2 linked regions of the Styela clava genome follow. The protein of the gene in region 2 interacts with the protein of the main gene of each other region in a pairwise test. Links are inferred from orthologs where the notes say so. Each region holds a gene or a part of one and is shown on either strand. Other genes may lie near its edges.

Region 1 (12,644 bases), about 3.5 Mb from region 2:
TAAAATAGGTTTTCGAAATATTCCACAATAAATTTTTCTCTATGATTAAACATTTATGCATTAGTTGCTCACAAGTTTTTTTTGAAAGTTCTCTTGATGTTTGGTAAGTTAACACAGATGCTGGGTACGGTAGGTCGTCATGGAAACAAGCAAAATTATCCAAGCGTAAACTTGATAACAAATCTGCATTAAAATTCAAATCATTTTTTTCTGTTTTATCATTAGAAACCAGAATTTTCAGGTTTGAAAAATATCTTACTTTTTCCCACAAATGGTAGTATACTTCCTCTACTATTTTAACAGATTCTGATCTCAAATAAGTATTTTGCTGTTCGCTCCATCTTAGCTTAGAGTTTCTACCAAGTGGCTGGTATTCGCTTTGATATTTTAAAATATTTATTGCATTAGTGGAAACTGCTATACACTTGTCCAATTCTGAATTTACCGCTTCTAATGTCCGCAGAGTTACAGTGCCATCGAGTGTTGTGTCACCTGCCGAGGACGCCATATTTTTAACAAAATTTGTTTCTTCCTTACATTCAGTTTCATGTAAGGCATCACACGCTTGATCGCAAAGTTTTTCATGAGTCGATAACAATTTTCTGACCTTGTGAGGTAGTTCAAGGTCATTAGCAAAGTCTCTGTATTTTAATTTGACCTTGGTAAAGTCTATTTCAACATTTTTCACGACTGGTGGATTATTATGCTCTGATAAGGGCGGAGAAATTTTTTTATCTTCTGTTTTAGAAATATTTTCATCATTTGTTGTTACTTGTGTAGTTTGCACCTTTATTTGCTTCAATAATTCCAAACTTTTTGAAACGGTTGTAGATTTATTCGAGTTTGGCTTAACTGTAGGTTTATTTTGTCCTCTTTGGTATCCAGCTGATCTGATTCTGCCTCTTGTGGGTTTTGTATAAAATGGAGGATTGGAAATTTTTGACGATGCTTTATTTGGCAAAATTTTAGAGTTTCTGCTTAAATTTGGCACGATTTTCGTTTTATTTGAGGTACTAGATAATCTTTCACTCTTTATTAAGCCTTTTTTGGGATCGGATTTTTGAGGTAGAGCACTATTCACTTTTTTTGTTTCATTTTCTTTAATTTTTTGCGTCTTCGTTGCAGGTTTTTCGTTGACTTTTTCATGCAATAATCTAGCCTTTTGTAATATGTCTTCTACGTTTTCAAGTTCTTTATCAAAGTTTGCAACTTTTGATATTTTTTCTTCGTTTTCTTTCCGTTGTTCAATTGATTGTTTGTAACCATCTTGTGCGGATTTAGGAGCAGAACTGAAAGGCCATGGTTGAGAAATCTCATCTGAAATAGAATATCTTGGTTAAACATCTGAAATTCATCAACATTTAACAAAAAATTACAACAGACAATTTTTTGAGGCGGCGTGAAGCTAATTAAAAATAAAATTATTTGTTTAATTTGATCCTCTGTTTGGGTAAAACAATTTCTCGCCTTACTAACTGTTATTTGTAGCTAGTTATTTTTGAGGTGGGGCACGAGATTTGAGAAATTCTAAAAAGGGGCGTGGCTCAAAAAGTTTGAGAACCACTGTGCTATAGAGACGCTACATGCTATCGAACCACTCAATAAATATTCTGCGTGGGTTCTTAGTTCGAATCTTGTGAGAAGTCATTGTGTGTGGAGACATCGGACATGATAGTCGAGTGGTGGGAGTGTTAGACTTAGGTAACTATGAAGACATGGTTCTGTTCGAATCTAAGGCTCATCACCTCACCCAAGGGGTAGGCAATGTTGAATCGGTAAAGTTCCAGTCATCCAAATGATAGCAGGCTGGTTCCGAGCGAGTCCTTTTGCCTAATTTAATACAGGGCTTTATTAACGCCTTGTATATTCAACATTACTTTGGTCAAGCATACCAGGGGTGTGCAACCTTCCATACAGGGGGTCAGATACAAATAAGTGGGTGAAACTGCATGCCGCACCATTATTTATTTTATAGGCTTTCTAGTAGTTGCAAGCATAAAAATTTTGGTTATTGATCTCATGACATGTGTGTTCGCTTCGCTAGCTGTTAGAGCAGTGTAATGTCATACAAATAGATAATAAATTGGACTCAGGGTATAGGATTTGCAACGCGAAGGGATTGACATTAATCGCATGTACCAGATAAACTATATATTAAAAACTCATTTGGCGGGATGCAGGTTGCACACCCCACCACTACACTTCCGTTCATGAATCTGAAACAAATAACTGGCTAATTAATGCTCCACCCAACATTGAACTGGATAGGAGGCTGTGGTATATCTTATGAATAAGCAGTCTTCTCTCCCCCCCTGGAAAGAAAATTTTCATCCCATCCTAATAAAGAACAAAAAACAATGTAACCTCACCTAAAACATATGCTTGGTATTCCGCACGTTCTTTGTATTCTTTTACTTTGTTATATAAATGTTCAATCCATCGTTGTAATTCATCCAGTTCCATCAATTATCAGATAACTAGTTATGTCTATGGAACATAAAAAATCAGCAGTACAGTACAGTTGAAAGAATTACAAGGAATAATGATTTAGTGTTTCCACAGAATTGATAACGAAACATTACGGGAACTTAGGTCAATGATAATATACAAAATAGTTTGTCTTAATGAAGTGGACACGGTCGAACTTGGGAGCACGGTGGAGCATAGTGGTTGGATTGGCATCGAAGATAACAGACGTCTGGTTCATAAACTTGAAGATTTCAACCTTTTGAATAATAGTAGCTCCCAACGTATCGTTAGATATCAGTTCAGTGGCTGCTTGGTGGAAGAGCATTGCGAAAAAAACGACTAAATCTGTACAAAACAACGTGTCAAGTTCATTGGAAATGGTATTCAAACAAAATATATTCCAGAGTATTCTACTGTGAGTTTTGATAGAAAAGAACCTAACGAGACTATCGGTCAGAGACGATCGAAAGTTAGGGGATCCCCAAAACAGCGCTCTTACTCCATAGTGACGCCCTGTGTCCCATCACTAATTAGTTAATAACTCGCTAATTATACGATATAATTCGTCCAAAATCAATAGGCTTTTGGTCCGAGATATGATGAATGCACATGCAAAATCTGGAGCAGATTCAATCTCGCTTTGGTGAGATATCGCGTGCATCTAACAGACAGACAAATAGCCATCAACATACTTACCGATTAAAATCGATAAGTAATAAACAGATGTCATTATTACAAGGTGACTCAAAAAAACAAAATCCAGGTCATTTGAAACATTCTAGAGAAAACATAACTTTTGTGCAAAATGTCTTAGATTACTGGAACTTCTGGGTACAATCATACAGAAATAAAATTTCAAGTGTTTTAATTAATGAATATTCTTCATTTTCGTAGATAAATAAGGTTCAGTTTTTGTGGCACTATGTAAATTACGATAAATCATAGTTTTGATTGTCTGAAGTTTTAAAATACACAATTTCAATAAAGTCTGAAATTACATTGAACTAAATATATTGAACAAAATTATCTGATGCAATTTAAAATTGTTACCGTAATATTTCATTGAAAAATATTGACAACTGAAATTTTTTTGTATGAAGAAAGTATACAGAGCACTGACCGGTATACATTTATAGTAATTCCATGTATCTGAAGAACACAAACATTTTTTAATTCATTTTAAATGTATCAAAATTTTGTATTTAAGGTGAACAATATCTGATTTTCCCAAATTTACTTGATTTGCTCAAAATATACAAGTTCATGTATATTTGAATAGCAGGATTTTTCACTAATTTACGTGAGCCACCGCCGTGAGAATCTGAAAGTCTGCTGTTTTTTGCAGGCAGTGTCGAACCATGAAGATTCTCTCAAAATATAGTAGGTCTTGGCATAACAGTGGCCGCTTGTACGAAGCCTTGTTCAAAGTCGTATAAAAACGCCATAAAAAATACTCAAAACCTAGCTATGCAACGAAATTTTAACTGTTATAAGTCCAATGAAATAATGTTGAAATGCATGCCAATTTGATGCCCAAACTTTGATATCTAATGAAGATATAGCCAAAAGAACAGATCTGTAGTTCCCAACCTGGGGCCAACAGCTCCCCAAGGGGGCCACAAAGCAGTTAGTGACGGGCCACAATGATAGGCGCGAAACTGATTTTCCTTTTAAAAAATTCCCCGTTCTTCCTAGTTTCATTACTTGATAAGGTTATTTTGCAGGGTGTTTTCTGAACATAATGGGATTTGAAATCCACCAATCAAAATAACACTATAAATATCACTGGAAGGATAAACAGAGAGGCCATGAGTGCTAAAACCATCCGTAAGGGGGCCACAAAACATAGGTTAGTAAGCACTAGTATAGATCAATCATTTTTTCTTTTGATTATAGTGAAATTTGCTTAAATCAATAACACTCTCAGGACATTTATCTCTGAGCGAAGTTACATGGGGTCACTAGAGTGTGAGGAGCTGTTGTGACAATAACAAATTACAGCGCAAAACAGTTTATAAGTTCATGTAATTGTACTTCATCCCATGTTCATTCTATTACCATCCCCTCTTCTGTGAGTATCTTTCCAATCATCGAATTCTCTTTGCTTTTTCAACTTGTCGTCACTTTCATCATCCGATGAGTTTTCTCCATTTTGTTGCCCATTTGCCCCCGAACTTGGTCCTATGCCTTGATCTGGTAGAGTACCAGCGGCTACGTGGGACTCAAAATACTGTTCTACAGTCATAGAAGGTAAACTGGGGTATCCAGCCCCGAATACAGCAGCTTGTGCTTTGTCTCTTGTGAGAATGAAGTTTTGTGGCTTTTTATTGTTTCGTGAAGTCGATGGGGCAGGAACGGGAGGATTATTTTTATCCGGCATATTTTCCCAAAAACTTAAAATTTCCTTTTCTTGTGAAATATTTCCGATATTTTCAATAGAAATATCAATCCATTTTTCAATTACCGCTAACCAGTAATTACGTAAAGTTTCGTCATCAACATTGCTTGATTCTGAGTCATTTTCTGGCAACGATGATTTCAGATGTTTCAACCTTGATTCAAGCTCTTTGTTTCTTTTAAATTTCGCTATTTTTGCTTCTCTTTCAGCATTCATTGACGCTAAATCGCGAGGATTATTTTTAACAGTTTTTGAATCGTCTACATTTAAGCATCTTTCTATGTCTTTTATGGGGCCAATATTATAATCCTTACACCTATCAAGAAATTGGAAAATGAGTTTCTCAGCGGAAATTAATAAAGATTTTCTTTCTTCTCTGGCGGTTTGTACGAGAGATGTTAAAACGCCGCAAATAGAGGGTGAAAGTAAATACTTTAGATTTATTGATGATATTTCACCGACTTCTTCATTAGTGCTAAACAATCGAAGCTCATCAGTTCGACTTTGAACAATTTGTGATAACTTAATCCCTCGTTTTATTGAAATCTGATTCGCTTCTGAGTTTGTGGGCTCGGAAGTGTTTTCAATGTCGGTGTGAATTTGAAAAGCCTCATAAAAAAGTTCTGAAAGTGACTTTTGTTCATCTGGATCAACAGACATTTTTGTTAATAATATTCACACCAATTTGATTTATCGTTCGGTAAAAGTTTTCCAGAAAGGAGTAAAATAATATCAACAAACCACCAAATACCAACACCACCTAGTGTCAAAAGTTTGGCAACTGCAGTTCCTGAATGTCCCAGGCAAAATCGATCAACCCCTAAACATCCAAGGAAAACCGAATAAAGTAATGTGCTTACAAAACAGTACCCTGTATATCTTATACAAGGAATTCCTGACTTTTTGAAAGTGCGATCACCAGCACAGTCGATTGTATCGTCAAGTACGCGGCAGTAAACGCTAGTAGTTTTGACTTCTGGATATCTTTGTCTTCCAAAATCTTGAACCTCGCAGCCAACGTCGTCTTCTACGTCTGTTTTATTCTCTGGAAAAACCGAGGGCAAGTCGCACTCAATAAATTCGTCGGGGAGAAGATAGCACTGTATTAACGGCGAATATGGGTTTACCGGTTCTTCTGAAGAATTATTAGACAGGCAGAATGTCAAAGCGCTTATAAAGATAGTCAACAAGAACAACTTCCCAGAATTTAGCATTTTCCGATCAAGAACAAAATCGATGATGAAAACGCAAAACACCAGCGCCGTATCGCAAAATTCAACGAAAATTTGCGACACTCGACTTCCACCTAGCGTCTGGTAAATATCAGCATTTCATGAATAACTTGTCCGCAAGTTGTCGCTAGTAACACTTATGATAGTGCACGGAGTCAATGTGTTCAATACCTAGCATAAATTCTTTGTTGCCTATCTTTTCATAAATACTTTTAATACCCCAATAAAATAAGCAAATATTTCCTTACAAATTTTTGTTTTATAAATATAGTTTTTCTTTGTATGGATTAAATGAAAATTTGCATTTCAATGAAGAACATAAACTCACATCACATCTGCAATGATTTATGACGTCACTAATCAGCTGATATCACTTATCAATGCGACATCATTTAACTTACGTTTACGTTTATCGAAACAGCAATGTAATAGGAGTATATTCAATATTGTAATATTTATAAATTTAATCCAAAAGCGAAGTACACTGAGACTCTTTCTTCACTGTAAACTTTGGGGAACTCCTCTTCCCTCTGACGTCATATGAGTCAGAACAGAGAAAGAAAGAATTGACAGTCAAAGGCAAAGGCTCGTTTATGGGAAAATCATGAGGGATGTATCAACACTTCATATTTTATTATTTATGATATTACTCGGAAAAAGTAAGTTTTTATGTTGTTTATTAGAAAAGTCAAATTTGTTTTCTCTTAATTTTGATGTAGGAAAGGGAAACTACAGACTGGCTATGGTCTGACAGACCAGTGCATTTGGGTCTCATGTAGTTTCGTACCTAACATACCGTACTTCTAGTCGGCGTAGCATGACAATTTTTTCACGTATCAATCCTAACACCCACCTGACTACACCATTCTAGAATTACGTCATTACGACGTCACAGTGACATAGTAGAACCCTTCAACCTATAGGAACTGCCACCCAAGACGCGCAAACGAGCACCCGAAATCAGAGGCGCAGTTCTTACCACTTCATGGCAGCTCCTGCCACGAACGAACCGCGGCAGCTCTTGCCATGGTTTTATAGCGCTATTCAGTATTCAGTAATCAGTATTAACGGTATATTCACAAATTAATGTACCAGATTTTAATTGATCATGTGGAATTATATCTACTTAAACCCTAACCCTAACCCCAAATCAATCAAAACTGTATCCATAAGAAAAACGTTCCAACTTACCCAATATTTGTCACAATAATAGACAGCCCTGTCTTTACGGCCCACCTGCCGCGGTTACGGCAGCAAAATTTTACCTGCCATTGATTTTCAATTTGCTGCCGCGGTAACGGCAGCTCGACATTGGTTTGTGGCAGCTAAAAAGTCAGTTGCCATGAGTTTGGCCGTAGCGGCCATGGTATGGAAATACCGCCATGGTTTTGCGGCAGCTGCAGATGCCACAGAATACTTAAAACTGCACTTGCGAAATCAAACAGTTATTTCTCTCGTTTTCTCGTCTCAATGATTCCAATAGTAGAGAGATCGATAACATCAGTCAGTTCTTTATCGTCGGCGCCAGTGCCATTTTGGTCAATCGTGTGTATATTTGGCAAGCTCTATGACATGATTGTGATGTCGTAGTGACATAATTTTTGGATGGCGTAGTCATATGGGGGGTTGGGATTGACATATCAAAAAACCATATGTCAGTACGGCACACTATCTAAATTCCAAGAGTTTCCCTCCATTTAGTTCAATAAAACAAACACTCCCAGGTGTCTCACAAATGAGGGGCGTCTGGCACGACGGCATATGAGTCATATTGCGCCATGCTTGTCTCAATAATAATCTTGATTAATCGTGGCCATCATGTGACCAAAATTGCTGTTTTTTCCTGAAAACTTTCAAATACCACGGTAAAAAAATTTTTCCTTAGGTAAATCGGGTTATTTTTTCCAGAAGAATTTAATGATGACATTTTTAGATTGCGCTTCTTCGTAGTATTTTGCGCAACTTCATTATACTGTATTTTTACTGATATTGAGGGACAACAATGTCCAGACGTCTCCCAAAGGAGGGGTGACTGATCATCGGTAAAATGGGTTTCTCTGAAACGAGACAATGTCGCTCGATCTGTATAGTGTGCCGTACTGTCTGTTGCGATAAGCTTGGCCCTGCTCTGGCTCTCTGTCTGGCTTCTAATTATGGCTATATCAAGATATCCTTATAAATTGGTGCTGTAGAGTCCCACATTGCATCTACTTTTGTTGCCAAATATTCCTACTGATTCATCAAGCTTCGAAGTTATGAAATTTAACTATGATAAACAATTACATGTTGCACTTAGACCCATACACCTGGAGCCAATTAACTGCTAGTTATTTAGTCATGCTATTGAAAATTTCTTTTTCACAATAAATGATAATAACTCTTGATATTTGTTTTTAATCCTTTCAATATCTTACTTTACAGAAGCTTTATCACAGTGGATTTCCGAACCATCACTTCCAAATTATCGTAAGTATGGCGCTCAATGTGGTTTAAGAACATGCAGTAGATGATACAAATGTGCTGAATGCTCCATCAGGCTTTTAACTTGTTAATGTCTTGGTTATATGTTAAGTTCTACACCCACGCTATTATTGAATAAGGGTTCAACTGAATATGCTTATATATCTTTATTACACCAGCATAACACACGACATAAGACGCATACATCAACAACAAACTATCGAGTGGCGCAACTGCGACACGTTAACACTAGACAGATAGCACAATCAATTACTGGGGACGTTATTCCACAAGGCATTATTAGTCATCATCAACATCCCTCTTTGTTTAAGATCAATTTCACAAATTAATTTCAAATATGAAATATTCACCTTTACCTATTACATAATTCATGACTATTACAATTAAGGCACATTAATGAGCAATACTATTTAACACTCAAATTCAAGTTAAAGTCATTACTAAGTTACATAGTCTTTCATCCAAATAGAAGGTTTACGATTTGGACGAGGTCTGGATGGGCGTTTTGAATTTTAGTTTTTGTTTGGGAATTTAAGGTTTAATCGATTTGGTTGATCGACCAAACATAGCTTTGATGGACTGCTGTTCAAGTCTTGACGAGGCGTATTTCTTATTTCTAGAAGAGCTAGCGATTGATCTTCATTCGTGTTTGCAGTCCTTTTCAGCATATTCTTGGAAATTCATATTCACCAGCAATTTGGCACCTCATGCTAAGCGTTAAAAATTCGCCACAGCACCTCTGATTATCCTGCGTGGGTTCGCTGGTTCTAATCCCATGCGGGAATAGTTACCAGCGAGAGTATTGCTGGACTCCTCGCTGCTGTAGGGTGGTTCCTGTAACCGGACGAGGCGCCGTGGTTCACCATATGATTGAGCTGTTTCATCGGCTTCCCTCTTTCTCGGGATAAATGAATAAATCTTATTCTTCCTATTTCATGCACACAAACTAAGAATAATATATTTATTGACCTTTTTTTGTTACATCTTAAATCATTTAAAATCTTTCACAACGGATTTGATTATCTGCCAAATCTATACCGAGATAAATATTTACACGCCGATCTTTATACAAATTCCTAATTTTCTATTTTTAGCTGTTTGTTCATCTACAAAGACATTAACAGATATAAGCGGGGAATATAATTTCAAGGATGATATTTACAGATCTAGAGATTTCTGTTTATATATAGTTAGTGAAGATCACTCTACATTATCTGTAAGGTGAGCAATTAGTGTAATTTATATCATCGCACAAGAATGAAAAAATGTTCTCTGGAAGATGTTTGAACAAAGCTTTTTCACTTCTGAGTACTGCTCTATGTAGATCATATGCTACTTCCGTAGTGTGTGTACCAGGTTAGGGCTAGGCCATAATTTTATTCCGATTTCCCTTATTTTAGTTCTATTACGAGTTTGGGGACTGTCTGTGTTAGCCGAGTGAATATATCCCTTGCTCATAGGTTTCATCCTTTTATACAACTTGATGTAAAGTAGGCGAACAGCATTAGTTACCTTCATATCGGTACACACACTTCTGGAGCATATATTGAAGTTAATATTTTGTTTCAGATTTCTGGATTTTAATTTTGGTTTCGAAGATGAGAATGGAAACTGCTCCAACTTTCTGGAGATTGGAACACCGAAAGGTACAAAGATCTTATTGTATGATAGATCTTAATAGAAGGGTCGTTGAAACAAATTATTACAAATGTTGTTAAGAGGAGAATATATTTCTCATAAGGTTATTTTCTCATACGTTTTTGTTATGTGATGTGTCTTAACAAGTAGGTGTTTTGTCACATACGATTGGTTGATAGTCGATCAGTTTTGACGCAAACTCACAACTGATTTTTACCGACTTAATATATCATAGCAGGTTGATATAAAGCAAGTGCTTACAAATGTATTTGTAAAACGTTCTATTAGTAACTAACTAACTAGTAATTTTTAGTTTTTGGTTCATTGTAAATTAAATGCAAACAGAATAAAAAATTATTATTTAATTCTCAATTTAATAAATTATTATTCATAAGTACTGCTTGCAACATGAAAAAAATCCAATATTGATTATTTTTGACTGTTTTATTATAAGACAACACAGACACCTGAATCTACCGGTAATTATCAAAACGAAGTTGTTTTTCTCATAATATATAGGGTGTTCTACCGTGTTCATAAAGTCTTGAAATTTTTTAAAAATGCAAAGTGAATTTATCGATACCATATATTGTTTATTTTTTTCACAGATGCATTAAATGAAGTAAAAATAATTACTGATTAAATAACAATAAACCTGGTTGAGATATATTGAGAACTGACTTAATAACAAAATTGAAATTCTAAAGAAACTTCATTTATACCTCCAATAGTGAAATTCCTAAATCATAATTTAGTATATTTATCATTGAAAAATTTCAAAAAATATTCTATCAACAGATTCTCCTCAACCTCAGCAGAAAAGATACTGCGGCTCAAAGTCACCTCCACCCTTTGTATCAAGCTCTGATATTGTATGGATTTGGGTTCACAGAGAATTCATGTTAAGACAGTCTAATATTGAACTGATATACGATGCAGGTAATTGTATAGACTGTTAGTGTTTTATCTATATTTATCTATCCCTGAATGAGAATAATTGTCTATACAATATAAAAGCTATACTCTTAACAAAAAAAATAGTTACGGAACTATACTTCTCGATCATTCTAATTAGATCATTAGGTGTCGCCACTCGATATCAAGCTTTGGTTAGCGACTTCCCTTCCCCAGTCAGAATTTATGATTTTCTTTTTTCTTCGTATTTTGTGTAAAACTGACTTTTTTACTGCTGGAAAAAATGAATCTGACTTGACTATAAGCAAACCAACAAAATGTTGTCTTTTCTATGTCTTGCTTGAATACTTTCACAATAGAGATGATTTTTTTATGGCTGATTCTGATTATTTTTAAGTCTATCTTGGCCTAAATTTGAGTGTGTTTTTCTATATTGATATCAATTTTTTTTCGATAACTACTTAGTGATATTATTTTGAAATTAGACTCCTTATTTCTGAGTGGGTGTGCATTATCTTGCTTCCAGGAAATTTTTTAAAAAACAAATTTGTGTGGCTCAAAATGCATGCAAAATTTTTATGATTATATCTCAATATCATCAAGGTTATTGTACAGTAGAGACTGATTTAGGATTGTACAATAATATTAAAAAACATATTTATGCGGCTCAAAATGCATGCGAAATTTTCATGATTATCATTATCACAATATCAACGGATGGGTCCTCTTGTACAATGGAGATAGATTTAGGATTGTGCAATAATATTCGATTATTTGATTCGATTCAAGAAAAATATTCAATTTGATTTGAATCAAAATATATTCGATTTGGACAGCCATAATTATCATGAATATCACACTGCTGGTTATCTTGCATGGGTTCGCATTTTCTCAGATACATGGGCTTGATGGTTGAAGTCTCAACTGACCAGCGGTTACGTAAGCCACCCTATAGTGATGAGGAGTCCAGAAGTCAGTTAGCATATAACTATCCTTAGTGAGATTCGATCCTGCTAACCCATGCAGGGTAATCAAAGTGTAATTGCAAGCATATTACTAACGATTGGCATGATTTACCACCACCGAGCTATAGTATTCTTATATGTTTTATTAGCTTTTCCAACTCGAAGTCTCATCCAGCCATATTTTATTCTATTTTTAACAGCACCAAGATGTAACGGAGACCTCGTCATCAATTCCTACACGTTTTTAACGTCACCAAAATATCCAACCTCGGTATTTAATTGCGCCTGGACGATCTTAGTTCGTGAATCTGTGTCGGATCAACCGCTCCAGATTCAGCTTACGAATTGGTTTATTCAAAACTCTGCAGCCAGTTTGGAAGTCTATGACAGTAGAGGAGGAAAGTTCTTGGCGAGGTAGGTGTTGAGGTACTCCCGTAATATGTGAACCAAGATGGCGCACACCGGAACGTAGTATGTGTACCTGGTTAGGGTTGGGTCATAATTTCAGGTACAAATACTACGGAAGTCACTTGGCTAGTTCCCGAA
Region 2 (13,580 bases):
TGCGAGTTGTCGTCGATGTTTTTCTCCGTTGTCGCTTTGCTGAGAATATGGAAATGAGCAAACCAATAACAGAACGGCATTATGGGTAAAACCACTGCAGCATGCTTACGAGGTATAAAGACTGACATGCTGGTCTCCAGAGGTCATTCAGTACTTTGGTGTAGCAGAGACAACATGTGTCTTATGTCTGACTTTATATTCTGCTATTTGTGGTGACAACTGAACTGTTTATGTTTAAGAAATATTGCTTGTTTCAATAAAACATTATATTACACCAGTAAACAATAGGAAGATGAAAAATTGATATGAAAATATAAAAGGTTAACAAATTGAATTAAAAAAAAAAAAATACCAGAGCTTCGAGCTGAACAGTCAAAGTTTCGATTCGTTGATTCTTTTCTCCTAATTCGACCTTGTTTTTATGGAATTCCGTCTTTGTGACCTTGAGATTTTCTCGAGTTTCTTGAAGGTCGTTCTCCTATAGAAATAATATAGTTGTAAAATAATAACGAGTGAAAACCAAAGATCAACAATGGTCAAAATGAATATCAATCACTCTGAATACATTCTAAAACAGGGGTGTGCAACATTTTTCGTCAGTGTCGTCATTTTTCAGACATCTAGCTGGACCACACAAAAAATTTAGCGGGAGAGCAAGAAGAGAGAATGCGGCTATAGCTTAGACTTCCAGTAATAAAGACACCGGGCAAAACAACGAAAGATTCAACGCAGCGACAAGAGCAAAAAACGCTATCTATGTTTGTTACTCATGGGAGTACCTTTTAAAGCATAAACTGTCGAATTGGGATTTTATGGTTGATGGAGATAAATCTGAGTGTGACCACACAGCCAACACTAAATAACTTGGAGATCCAGGTTGTTGCCTGTTGCACACCGCTATTATAAAGCAATGCCTTTGAATAAGGAATATATTTGGAAATGGGTCATAAGCCATAACAAATTAGCGATTACGTGCACCACCCTATGACAGTGTGAGAAGTCCAGCAAACGTCTTGCACATTATCATCTTCCACAGGAATCGAAACCATGCAGGGTAATCTCAAGAGCATTTCACTCTTCACTCTGGATTACGCCGATTAAATAACCACCTACCTGCTGATGTAGTGCACTCGTTAAAGCCTGATTCTCATTCCTGATCGCATCCAATGACATCTGCAAATTAAGGTTTGCATCCTGAAGTTGCTCGTTGAGTTTCCTCGTGTCATCGTAAGATTGCAAACAAGATTTCACTGATGCCGACTCTGTTTGTCGTTGGTGTCGGAGTCTGTAGGAAATGATAGAATAAAAATTATTTGTGTGAAATTTTGCACAAAGCAAGCTCATGTATCGCCCTAAACCAGTTTGCATGTATTATAAAACCAATTTTTATTGTGAATCAATCTTAATAAAGTGAATTTGTTTTCAATTTCTTGCGATTTGTAATCATAAAAAAGTAGTATGCTGTGAGTTTTATTAGTTCGGGAACCTCTTAAACAACATATCAATCAATATTTTTTTTTTACTTTGTCTCAAAAGTTTGTGGCGAACATATTTAATAAAAACCATACTTGTCTAGCTGTTGCATTGTATCACGACACATTCTCACAGCGTCCTCCTTCTCAGCACTCGCCAATTCTACCTGTCGTTGAAGATTCTCAAGCATTTCATTACCTTGGCCTTGCGGGTGATCTGAACAAATGCAAAAAAAAATTTTTTTTTTAATCTTCATGGGCTTTAGTGCAGGGTTACCCAAACTGGCCCAACTCTTTCTCAAGCATTTCATTGCCCTGGCCTTGTGGGTGATCTGAAAAGACGGCAAAAATTGAATTTGTGCATTCTTCATACACTATAAGGAAGGCCTGTGCAAGTTGTGTACCACAAACTTTGACTTTACTTAGTCCAGCCCACGACTGCATTTTTAATTTGCGATGTAGACCCATAGCAAAGATAATTACCCAGCTCTGCTCAAGAGGAAGGTTACTCAAACTGGCCCCAACCCCTCTCTAGGGGCCACAGAGTAGATTTATGGGAGCTAGGAGCAATGATCTTTGCTAAATATCATTACCAGTGCAGTGCCTACATCTATTTGTTAAAGTAAATTTACAGTGATGGTATAATTATTCTTGCTTTCGTTTGTTGGTTTTTTTTGTATTAAATATTTCGCGTTAAATAACTTACGACCATTTACTACAACCTCATTGATTTGAAGAAATTTACTGTGATTCATTTGATTTTTTGACTGCAATGCTTTTATTATTTTGCTTTCGGTTGTCTTCATTATTAAACATGACGAGCAAAGCATAACTAGATATTTTTTTTTTGAAGAGCAGAAGTGAGTGGCAGAGGGATTTAAAAACAACTACACTAGATCTCCATGCTCACCTGTATAATCAGCTTCTTTCATTTGTTGTTGAACAATTTCCTGCAATTCTGCATGAAGACGTTGATTTTCTTCGGAGACAGACTGAAAAATAACTGAAGTTATCAGGGATGGCCAAAACCGTAGAAAGTCGTAGAAATCAAATTTGTTAAAGCAGAATGGTAGAGGTAACATTGTTCTAATTAGTATTATCTATTTTATTCCTTGAGGATTTAACTAATTTTCCGTCAATTGTAAAAAAATAAATGCTAAAATATTTCCAATGAAAATATTCTAAATTCTTCATAAAGTCAAAAAGTAAACTGAATATAACCAATTTTGAATGTTTTGAAATAATCAATTGATTCTGGACATACCTAATTAAGTCCCAGTAAAAATGTAAGCATGCTCAATATAAAACCTACATAACACACTCCCATGCAAACACACATGAAGACACGTACACATATAAAAACACACACCTGCAATCGCAATTTCCTTTCATGGTTTTCATCTTTTATCTTCGTAACTTGGGACACGAGATGTGTTAGATGAGTGTCATATTCGTTCAGTAACGGAGCCAAATGTTGTGGGTTCGTCAGCCAAGGTGCCGGAGGGTCAATGGACGCTTCTGCATCTAACTGTAAAGAAAATAAGGGATCAGATTCGCATAAAGATGTTCGAGACGTATTGAAAAATTTTAATATTGTTCATATTGGAAATCCATCTCTAAATTTAAATCATATTCTTTTGAAACTTGTCCTTCCAAAATAAATCTCAGTCATCACTTGTAAGCTCTCAAATCTACTGCCAGTGTAACAAAACAGGCAAAGAACAATTATGTCCAAGAGTATTTTCCAAGGCGTATTCCTATGTTACTTCAAACTAATGATAGGAACGTTCAACATTTAATGGACAAACAACTGACATGTGTTTTCGTTTATGCTAATTACTATAAAACAAACACCGTACGATAATTTTTGTTGTTATGCATTAACAGTGCGGTCGTTCAAGAGCTACAAATAATTGTTTGTGGGCCGCATTTGGCCCCAGTTTGCCCACCACTATTCTGACCCTACAATTCCACAATTTGATGTATGGTGTTTCTGTCAGGCGACCTACCAGGCTATGGTCTGTTCCTTGGTGTTTTGCAAGAGCAGAGTTCAATCTCTGGACCATTTGCCGTAAAAAGACAAGTTCTTCAACGGGGTCGGTCACCTGTGATGTCATTCTGCACTTTTCGAAATATTCCAATCGGAAAAATCAAAGTGTTCCCTTTTGCAATATTTTGATTACCGGTAATAATTGAGTGTTCCAGTTGTCAAAAATTTCCTTTCGAAATAGTCTAGCTAGCTTTTAAACTTCTCATTTTAGACATCTATATTTAAAAGAAAACATACAAATTTTCAATTGGCATAAATTACACTTTATAATACATAAAATAACAGGCCTAAATTAGGGGAAATTGTGGCAGAATCCTTCACGGTTGAGTGAACAGAATACTGCAGAATATGGTCCTGGTACAGATCATAAATTATTCAATATTATGCTGTAAAAACCTCTGCAGTTGATCATTACAAAGCCTTCGAGTATTATTATAAGTTGGGGGTCCCGCCCTTTAGGGTTATAGCTGCCAGGTCAGTCATGTTAAACTGTTCAAATAGGTCTGATTGATATGAACATTACAAATTGAGGGCATAGCATAAAATTATATTATCACATCACAAAGAAATAAGCACTGCGATTATGAAGCGACAATAAATTTCCTAAAAGAAAATTGTGAGGTCAACAATACTAAAGCAAATTGAAATGACAGCACAAAAACACTCAAGCATGAAAAGAATTCTCCAAGCAAAAAAATAATGTAAGAATTGAAAATAAAGTTTCAAGGAATGAAAAGACATTTATGGCCTCCATGAAAAGGGCCCACTCGAGACTTCATTTTGCGCAGCGATTTCCATGTCTTTCTCTCTGAACACGGCCATGTGCACACAGCCATTGAAACATACTTATCCTAGGATAAAACTGTCCACAAAAGTACCCTTTGTATGAAGGGAATACTTTTGGGTTATTTCAGTACTGATAGAGATTTCTTACATCCCGGAGGAGGTGGTGGATATGGAATGTTAAACTTTAACTTCCCATCACCAACAAAAAATGTCGCACACCCCTGGACCACGAGTTCATATAATTCAGAGATTTCACTGAGAAATGGAGTTAAAAAAGTTCTGAACACATGAATAAAACAGAAAAATAGCCTCTTAGATACAGAAACAATTATAATTTTCGCAACGTTAATTCAACAAACTAGATTTCACATTTCAAACTCGGCAGATAAGAAGTGCCTTTCAAAAAATGATGGATTGATATTTCGAGACTCATTGAAATTTATTGTGACACACAGTTTATTAAGAAGTACAATTCAAAGCAGCTGTAAAATAAGAATACCATGGTATACTAAAATAAATGAGGACACAAATCCGCATGGATAACCTTCTTCTCAATTAGGGAGTTGAAGAATATAAAAGGAAACTGATCAGGCGACAACAGAATAGTGGGTCGGTGTAGTTTAGTATCACAAGTACTTCTGGTGGGCTTGTCATAACCATTTTTGCATCTGTTATTCCTAACCCCTACCTGACTATGTCATTCAAAAATTATGTCACTAAAAAATTAGTTCCAAAATGGCATCGGCGCTGACTATAAAGAACTCACTAACACCAGTGATCTCTATCATATTCGGAGATGAGCAAAATAGATTGCTAGACTTCAGGTAATAGTTAACGCGTTTTGGACGACCATCCGTATATTTTGGTGGACCTTATTACGTCACTGTGAAGTCGTAGTGATGTAATTTTTGAAAGACGTGGTCAGGTGGGCTTTAGGAATGTCATTTGAAAAAATTGTTATGCTACACCCACTAGAAGTTATTGTGGAACAACAGCAGAATAGAATACAGAGACTCAGAATAGCAATCAAGAACAAACCCATAAGTTATTATTCCATTAGATTCACCATGTACTCAATCAGAGACTTGAGGAGATAAAAGTTTTGAACAAGTGAATAAAACAATAGAATATTATCTCAGAGAAAATAGTCCGCTTGCGGTTTCTTCATCGGAACTCCTCTTGCCTCTTGTGGTGCGGCTTCGAATATTGTAAATTCTTTCTGTAAATGTTCGTCAAGTTCCAAAATGGCAGCTACGTTTCCGCAGCGGTAGCAGTAGTTCGGAGCCGACCAGACAGTTAAAACGGTTTCGTTGAAATGCCATTTATACCCTTCCATTACGAGCTGATGAGCACGGCAGATCATATCAATATCATTGGATTGATTAAACAACGAAACAACGTCGCTTCCGAAAAGATATCCAGCTCCTCGTGGACTGACACCCCACCCGGTGGTGTCTTCTGGATCTGACCATAGTAGATCGCACATTGGGCCATCGTGTGGTACTTCTTGTTTGCGATCGATAGTACGAATCTGGTCTAGAGTTTGGATTGATGGAGATAACCCACCATGGACGCAAAAGATTTTTCCATCGATAATCGCGGACAAACTTAAGTAGTCGAAAATTTCAGTACAATAGCGCCAAACAGTGATCGATCCATATTTTCTTAAACATTCATCGTAAAAACCATAAACCTGGGTGATCTGTCGACTTTCATGGTTTCCTCGAATCAGGACAATACGATCTGGATAACGGACTTTCAAAGCCAATAGAAGTAAAAACGTCTCAACACTGTAGAAACCTCTGTCCACAAAATCACCGAGAAATAGATAATTCGTGTTCGGAACATCCCCACCGACTTTAAAAAGCTCTTTTAAATCATAAAACTGACCGTGAATATCTCCGCACACGGTTACCGGTGAATCCACCCTCTGAACATTGCTTTCTTCGACTAAAATTTCACGCGCTTTGGCGCATAAAGCTTTTACTTCGCTTTCTTTAATAATTTCACATCTTTGAAGTTGCTCTATTTGTCTATCTAGGTCGCTAGTATCAGACATTTTCACAAATTTAACAAACCGAATTCTGTTTCACACAAAAAACGAACGTCAACGCTCAAACGAAAATCCAAGAAGGATTACGAAAAGGAACAAAAGCTTTTTTCTCACGCATCAGTGATTTTGGATTTAGTAAAAAAAAAACGTTTTTTAAGAATAAGAATCGAAATATTTATTCAAATTAATTTAATTTGTTTAATTTTATTAAAGAATAAATTATGAAAAAGATTACAAAAGCGTTTTTCATTCAGGAATCAGAAATTTCAAAGTTATAGAAAAAAAATATTTTCCTATGCGAAATGTTCATTACAAATTAATTTAGTTTGTTTAGTTTTTTTTTTAAAAATTACTCAAAGCTTGTCCAGGCGCATCTTCCTCTAATATAGAGTGGACTTGCCTCTGAGAAATGTTACATGCCATCAATGATAGCCACTAATAGCCACTAAAAATCATATAGAACTACGATGGTGCAATGCCAAACCTCGGTGAACAAAGATTGATGCGAGATTCGAATAAGATATATATTTTTCTGAACTATGGTACAAAAATAAAATTGCAACAGACAAGACAAATAAACAAGACAGCAATTTAGTAAAGTTACCAAAATTTGTTTTCGAGTAAGTGAACTGTCGGTGGGTGAACGCGTGCTTGTGCGTTTCAAAACATCATTCCAAATTACAGCAGTTTTCTGACTTGTTATGCATTTGGTATTTGTACTTATACGTAGTAGTATATATTTACGCTTACACAAAAAATTTTGCGACATTTTTCGCTTCGAATAAGGCCCTGTACAAGCATCCACTGATATGCAACAAGTTGCTATACCTTTGAAGACCGAAATTTTTCGCCCTTTAAAAGAAGAGACCAATCTAGAAAGATTAATGCAAAAATAAATACAATTCAAACGTGCAAGACAATGGGAAAATCGAGAATACGCAAATGCAGGGTTAGAACTTCAAGATTTATTCAAGCGTCAGTGCGGTCACCGGTCATTGTCCATTCGAGCACTATAAAACCCATTAATTTACTGACCTGTATTAATCATGGACATTCTTTATAACTTTCGTAAATTCATGTCCTTGCAAAAACAATTTTATTGCTGCTGCTATTTAATTGATGACTATTTTATAAGTTGACGAAATAAGAAATCTCTCCCTCTCGTCGACACTTCAGCAATCTCGCTGCTTATCGTTTTCCCTCCCATAGGTGTAGATGCGCGCTTGTGGCGCTGCTATATTTGAGCCTTCCTATCTCGTTCATTGGAACACGCGTGCAAATCATTACCCGTCAGAACCAATCGGCGGTTTGGCGCATTGTGCTAAGCGTTAGGAATACGCCGGCCACTGCATCTCTGATTACCTTTCGTGGGTTCGAATCCCATGTGGGGATGATCATGTGCGAGAGGATTGCTGGACTCCATGCCGCCTTAGGGTGGTTCACGTAACCACTGGTTGTTTAAGGCTTCGTCCACCATCAATTCCATGCTTCCGAAAACAAATAACTGGCTAACTAATCCCATACCCGACCTGGACTGGTGACCGGATGAGAGGCCGTGGTTCGCCACATGATTAAGCCGTCTTATCAGCTTTTCTCTCCCCCGGGATAAATATGTAAATCCCAACACTGAAACTCCACCTCAGCAGTTGCACATAAAGATCATGGTGCACACATACCTTTTTCAATATTTATTACAACTGTACCTACGAACAATGATTTATACAGAAAAAATACCAGTGTCACGAAAAAGATGGATATCGATAAAATAAAAACGAGAATATCGGTTGGAAACCGAAGACTTATCGATCTATAGTTAGGGGATCCCCCGAAACAGAAACTGCAGTTTCGATTCATCCGCTCTTGTAACTTGCGCACTGCGCATCGCACACACACACTCGGCGGGTTTCAAAATTCTCTCGCTTTACAAAAATCTAGATCACTATATCAATAATTGATTGATAACTCGCTAATTATACGACATAATTCGCCCAAAATCAATAGGCTTCTGGTCCGAGATAAGATGAATGCACATGCAAAATCTGGAGCAGATTCAATCTCGCTTTCGTGAGATATCGCGTGCATCTAACAGACACACAGACAGACATACATACAGACAAATACCTATCAATATACTTACCGATCTTAAGATCGATAAGTAATGAGTGGACTTACAAAAAGATTGGTCATTACTCCATTAAACACTTCTACATACGTAACTTTCCAAGGAGGGGGAATTTTTGTCTACTCAATTTTTCATTCCAAAAAATAAAGATAAGACTTATCATCCATGTGTGTCCCATCACTAATTAATTAATAACTCGCTAATTATACGACATAATTCATCCAAAATCGATAAGCTTTGGATCCGAGATATGATGAATGCATATGCAAAATTTGGAGCGGATTCATCCTCGCTTTCGTGAGATATAGCGTGTATCTAACAGACAAACACCTATCAACATACTTACCGATCTTAAGATCGACAAGTAACAACAATTCCTAACTTGATCAAAAAATATATAGTGACATGGAAACTGGAAAAGGTCCAAAAATAGTGCAATTTAAGTATGGTGACTAGAATAAACGTGACAACTAAAAACTAGGCAACATCACAAAACCATAACATACAAATTAGATTAAAAGCATATCAATTGCATGATTAGGTGCAGAAGCCAGGAGTTGAGGTATTTACAGTGAGCTCTGGAATTTAGTGAACCAGTAATTACCATGATAAAAACATAAATTGTAAGTGGAGAAATATGAAATAATTGCAATTCAGAGTTCAAGGAGACGCAGTAAAACAGTACCAATTATTGAGCAGCGACAGTAATAAAGAAGTTGAACATTAAATTATTGAGGCAGTTCCAGTTGTGCACAGATTAAATTAAAATGGGTTTGTATTGCTACTTAACGATTTTTTACACGAAAAACAAATCAAAAACACTCAAAGAGTTGAAACTAATGACAGTTTTACACAAAATAAAAGTAAAAGCTTTTACCATTGAAAAGTTGGTTCAATAGCTGGAATATTTTTTTTGTATAACAACAACATAATAAAGTGACAGCACATTTGAACCCATACATTCGCACCAGTATATCCACGGGTTCAATCTATATGCGGGAGCTAAATCCATGGGTTAGGGTTAGTATGGGTTCAAATATGTATGTATGTATGTTTATTTGCCTCAAAAATGTAACAGTATCTGCATAATAATTAAACAGTAAAACAGAGACGAGATACATGTTCAAGACCTTCCTGGCCTAAGACACAGATGTGCGACATGTACCCCTAACAATGATAACAGCAGTTTAGGACTGCTGCGTTATACTAGGACAACAGACATGAAATATACAAATAACACTCTAGTAAAATACACAAGACAAATAGGTAAGGCACAACGGTGATATGTACAATAGTCAGTTTATGGCACGTCCATATCCCAGGTTCCAGTGTGAAAAGATGGAGATAGGGTATGGGTCGCTGAATTGATATGTTTTTACACTAAGTCTCACGAAACACGTAAAGATTTGTTCGGGATATAAACTTGCCAGAAACCAACGTTGGATGGGGCCATGACATGAGAAAAGATTTGTAAAAGATAAATGTAGAAAACCTTTGTTTAAACTTGAGTTGTTTATCATAGTTTGCACTGAGAACAATAGAGAGTCTGGCATAAAATGCGGCCACTTTCATAAGCGCTATTGTGTGAAATTATATCCGAAGGTGTAATTTCCATAGGTGCAATAGTATGCAGGTGCAATTGTCGTGGGTTCAAATGTAATGGAACCCATAATAACAAAGCGATCCATAGGTGCAATACAAAGAACCATGTCTCTGGAATATCAAAAACACTAAAAAAACAGCACCAAACTATGTTTTGAGTTTTAGGCTGTTTAATATGACAAAAACCCGATTTTGGGAAAACCTTGAAAAAAAAATTTCTTTCTCAATGTACGTGTCAAAACTTAACAGGAAATCTAGCAAAAAAGATGAAAATGCAAAAATTTTTTTTGTACCGGTAATATAGATCAATCAGAACCAAACATTTTATTAAAATTCGGGAGTATTGAATCAGATGTGAGTGTAGCATGAAAGTTACATTTCAAATACAAAATTTACGGTTTTATAAAAAAGAAAGTGGAAAACAATGCGCCTCTTGCCAAAACTCAACAAATTCCTTGAGGTATATTTTAGCTATAACATCAGATTCCGATATTTACTTTTCATCATGCAAGATTCAATATAAAGCAAAAGAAAAACACAGTAAACTAAAAAAACGAAACATTGATTCATAGCAATTAACATGGGATCGCGAAAGACTCAGTGAGTCATCCAGTGAGCGACATGCTGTAATATAGCAGCAAATATAGCAATCTCATAAAAAAATTATCTCTAAATCACACAATCATGGGAAAACAACACCACAATAAATTGACAACAGGAACAGCCATATGATTCTTCCAAAATTAGATAGCCTATTAGCGACATCATGTCATTTATATACGCATCACTGAATACAAACACATCAAAATAATGCTGATTTCAAAATTTGAGTTTGGCTGTGGCAGCAACGGCCAGCTCTAGACTCCAATGATAGTGTCTATGTTATTACCCCGAAGAAGGCCTCAGATAAGCAGCCATGAGGCTGCTATTTTGTTTTTGCTCTGAACAATGTTTTAGTTCTCAGATACTAATGGCGTTACTACTACAATTTTTTTTTATCTTTTTCCATTCCTACACAGTAAGATTAAGAGATGATCGTTAACATGCAAAAGCAAGATGACAATTACTAGCTCATGGCACCTTCGAACCCTTTAATTTCTTTCATCCCTTTGGTATCAGCTAATATTGTGCCATATTTGACTCTGGTAATAACATTCTAGCAGGTATTCGGAACGTAGATTGTACAGCATTGGCCATATCTCTTCGCCCATGGCATCTTTCAATAAAAGCACCAGGTTAATAATACTGATGCTAGTGGATATGTGTATACTGCAAGGATGCTGTCACCGGAATAAACATGACTATCCAATTAAAAGTCCAGCTGCACACTAACACAAATGTACTTCTGTAACGTTTCGTCTGACCAAAGTTAGACTTCCTCAGACAAGCAGTTTACAACAATCAATTTCTCATCACTTGACATAACTTAGCGCCACAATCCTTGGATCGTTTTCATTTGGAAGAACTTTGAATCTGCATTGGGAGCCATTGTGTTTCAAGAGTTGATATCTGTGCATAAATGACTCAGGACATTTTTTACATTTGTAATGTCTTTCACCTGTATGCAGTCTCAAATGCATATCACGACTGCTTGAATGAGCGAATCTGTCCCCACATATGTCACATTCAAATGGTTTTTCTTTTGTGTGAGTTCGCATATGAACAGCTACCATGATTTTGGATCGAAACTTACGGCCGCATTTTTTGCATGGAAATTTCTTTTCGCCTTTGTGCATATATAGGTGACTAGCAAGTGTTTGACTGCGAGCAAAAGTTTTCGCACATATTTCACACTTATAGTCTCTTTTTCCCAAATGTACGCCAATTATGTGTTGTTTTAACGAGTTTGGATACCCATACTCTGCTTCACAGATCGTGCATTTGTATCGTTTTTCTCCTGTGTGAACAATGTAATGTCGTTTTAAGTTTTGTTCTAGTTTAAAACCGCGTCCACATGTCTCACATTTGTGAGGAGTTTCATTCGTGTGAACTAACATATGTCGTGCTAGAGATGATTCGTCCCGAAAAGATTTAGAGCAAATCAAACAGGCAAATGTTGGCTGTGTTTCACTTGGGTGATTTTTTCTTTTATGGTATGTATATGCTATTGCATATTTGAAATCCATGCCACAATCCTTACATTTAAAAGGACGCTCACCTGTGTGTACGCGTGTATGGTTAACGAGAAATGCTTTATATGCAAAAGCTCTCCCACAATATTTACATTTGTATGGTTTTTCTCCGCTATGTACTCTCATATGGAGTTTCAAATGTGCATTAATAATGAAGTTCTTTCCGCAAATATCACAAACAAATCGGCGAATGTTATAATGAACCAGTAGATGGTGAGAAAGTGCTATTTTCATTAAGTAAGCTTTATTGCACCCCTCAATGTGGCACTTATACTTACGCAGGTTTGAGTGAGTGTCCATATGGACTTTCAAAGCACTTAGAAAGAGAAATGTCTTGTCACAAATGGTACATTTATGCTTTTTATTGTTTTCATGCACAGCTCGTTTGTGAGCTTTCAACGTAGATATCTCTTTGTATTCCTTATCACATAAATCACATTTTACTCTTATCTCTGAGTGCATGATTCGCATATGTTTTCTTAAGCTGTTCTTAGTTGTAACTTTGGCGCCACATATATCACACGAATATGGTTTTCCTTTCGTGTGTGTCCATGAATGCTTCCTTAAGCTGCATTCTGTCTCGTAAATTTTGCCACAAACTTCGCAACCATGTTCTGATTCATTTCCTACAAGAACAGATTCTCTTTCTTCGTTCGTTATCTTTTTTGTTGTTTTTTGATTCCTGTTACCATTAGATACGGTCAGTGTTGCCACATTATCATTACTCCCTCCTGTACCAGAATTTTGCCCCTTCTTTTGCTTCTCAATTTTAACATCTTTCCCTTTCTGTGATTGTGTTACATTGACTTGAACATAATTTTTGTCACTTGTAGAATCATTTTTTACTTGAATAAAATCATTTCCAGAAATATTCAATTTTCTAATTTTAACCCTTGGCTTGTTTCGGAAGCATTCAAGAGCAAGTTCAACAAGTTTTGGATCCATTTTTAAGATGGTCGTTTCACTTTTAGACTTTGATAGATAGATAGTTTATTTTGAAAACACCATAATATATAGGCCTACACTAATAAAAATGGAGAATTCTTGAGAGAAAGCGAAACCTGTAAAAAGTTGGAAACATGTGAAATATCATGTTCCCGCTCACACACACACACAAAAAATCACAAACCTATTATTAAAACGAGATATAACCGAAGACTTATCGATCGAAGGTTAGGGGATCCCTCAAAACAGCGCTCTCACTCCATAGTGACACCGTGTGTCCCATCACTAATTAATAAATAACTTACCAATTATACGACATAATTCATCGAAAATCAATAGGATTTTGATCCGAGCTATGATGGATGCACATGCAAAATTTGGAGCAGATTCAACCTCGCTTTCGTGAGATATCGTGTGT

The links.
Region 1: the proteins of serine/threonine-protein phosphatase 4 catalytic subunit (region 2) and immunoglobulin-binding protein 1-like interact in binary tests that used the Caenorhabditis elegans proteins (3 or more experiments, as listed by UniProt). The link is inferred for Styela clava from reciprocal best matches to the Caenorhabditis elegans genes pph-4.1 and ppfr-4.

Annotation. Positions count from the first base shown.
Region 1 is NC_135262.1:4,191,982-4,204,625, reverse strand, and holds immunoglobulin-binding protein 1-like, read right to left. Parts: upstream 5,528-12,644; coding exon 4,505-5,527; 3' UTR 2,482-4,504; downstream 1-2,481. Other genes in the region: uncharacterized protein LOC120332522, read right to left, coding at 1-1,317, 2,370-2,463; TM2 domain-containing protein 2-like, read right to left, coding at 5,533-6,081; uncharacterized protein LOC120332508, read left to right, coding at 6,704-6,758, 8,521-8,565, 9,675-9,801, 10,150-10,226, 11,017-11,157, 12,299-12,512. UniProt on the Caenorhabditis elegans protein: Probable regulatory subunit of serine/threonine-protein phosphatase PP4 which may play a role in meiosis and embryonic mitosis.
Region 2 is NC_135262.1:727,441-741,020, forward strand, and holds serine/threonine-protein phosphatase 4 catalytic subunit, read right to left. Parts: upstream 6,449-13,580; 5' UTR 6,368-6,448; coding exon 5,444-6,367; 3' UTR 3,737-5,443; downstream 1-3,736. Other genes in the region: sodium channel and clathrin linker 1-like, read right to left, coding at 1-39, 353-478, 1,114-1,285, 1,569-1,689, 2,383-2,464, 2,842-3,000, 3,482-3,589; uncharacterized protein LOC120332814, read right to left, coding at 11,498-13,162. UniProt on the Caenorhabditis elegans protein: Protein phosphatase which plays an essential role in meiosis and in early embryonic mitosis.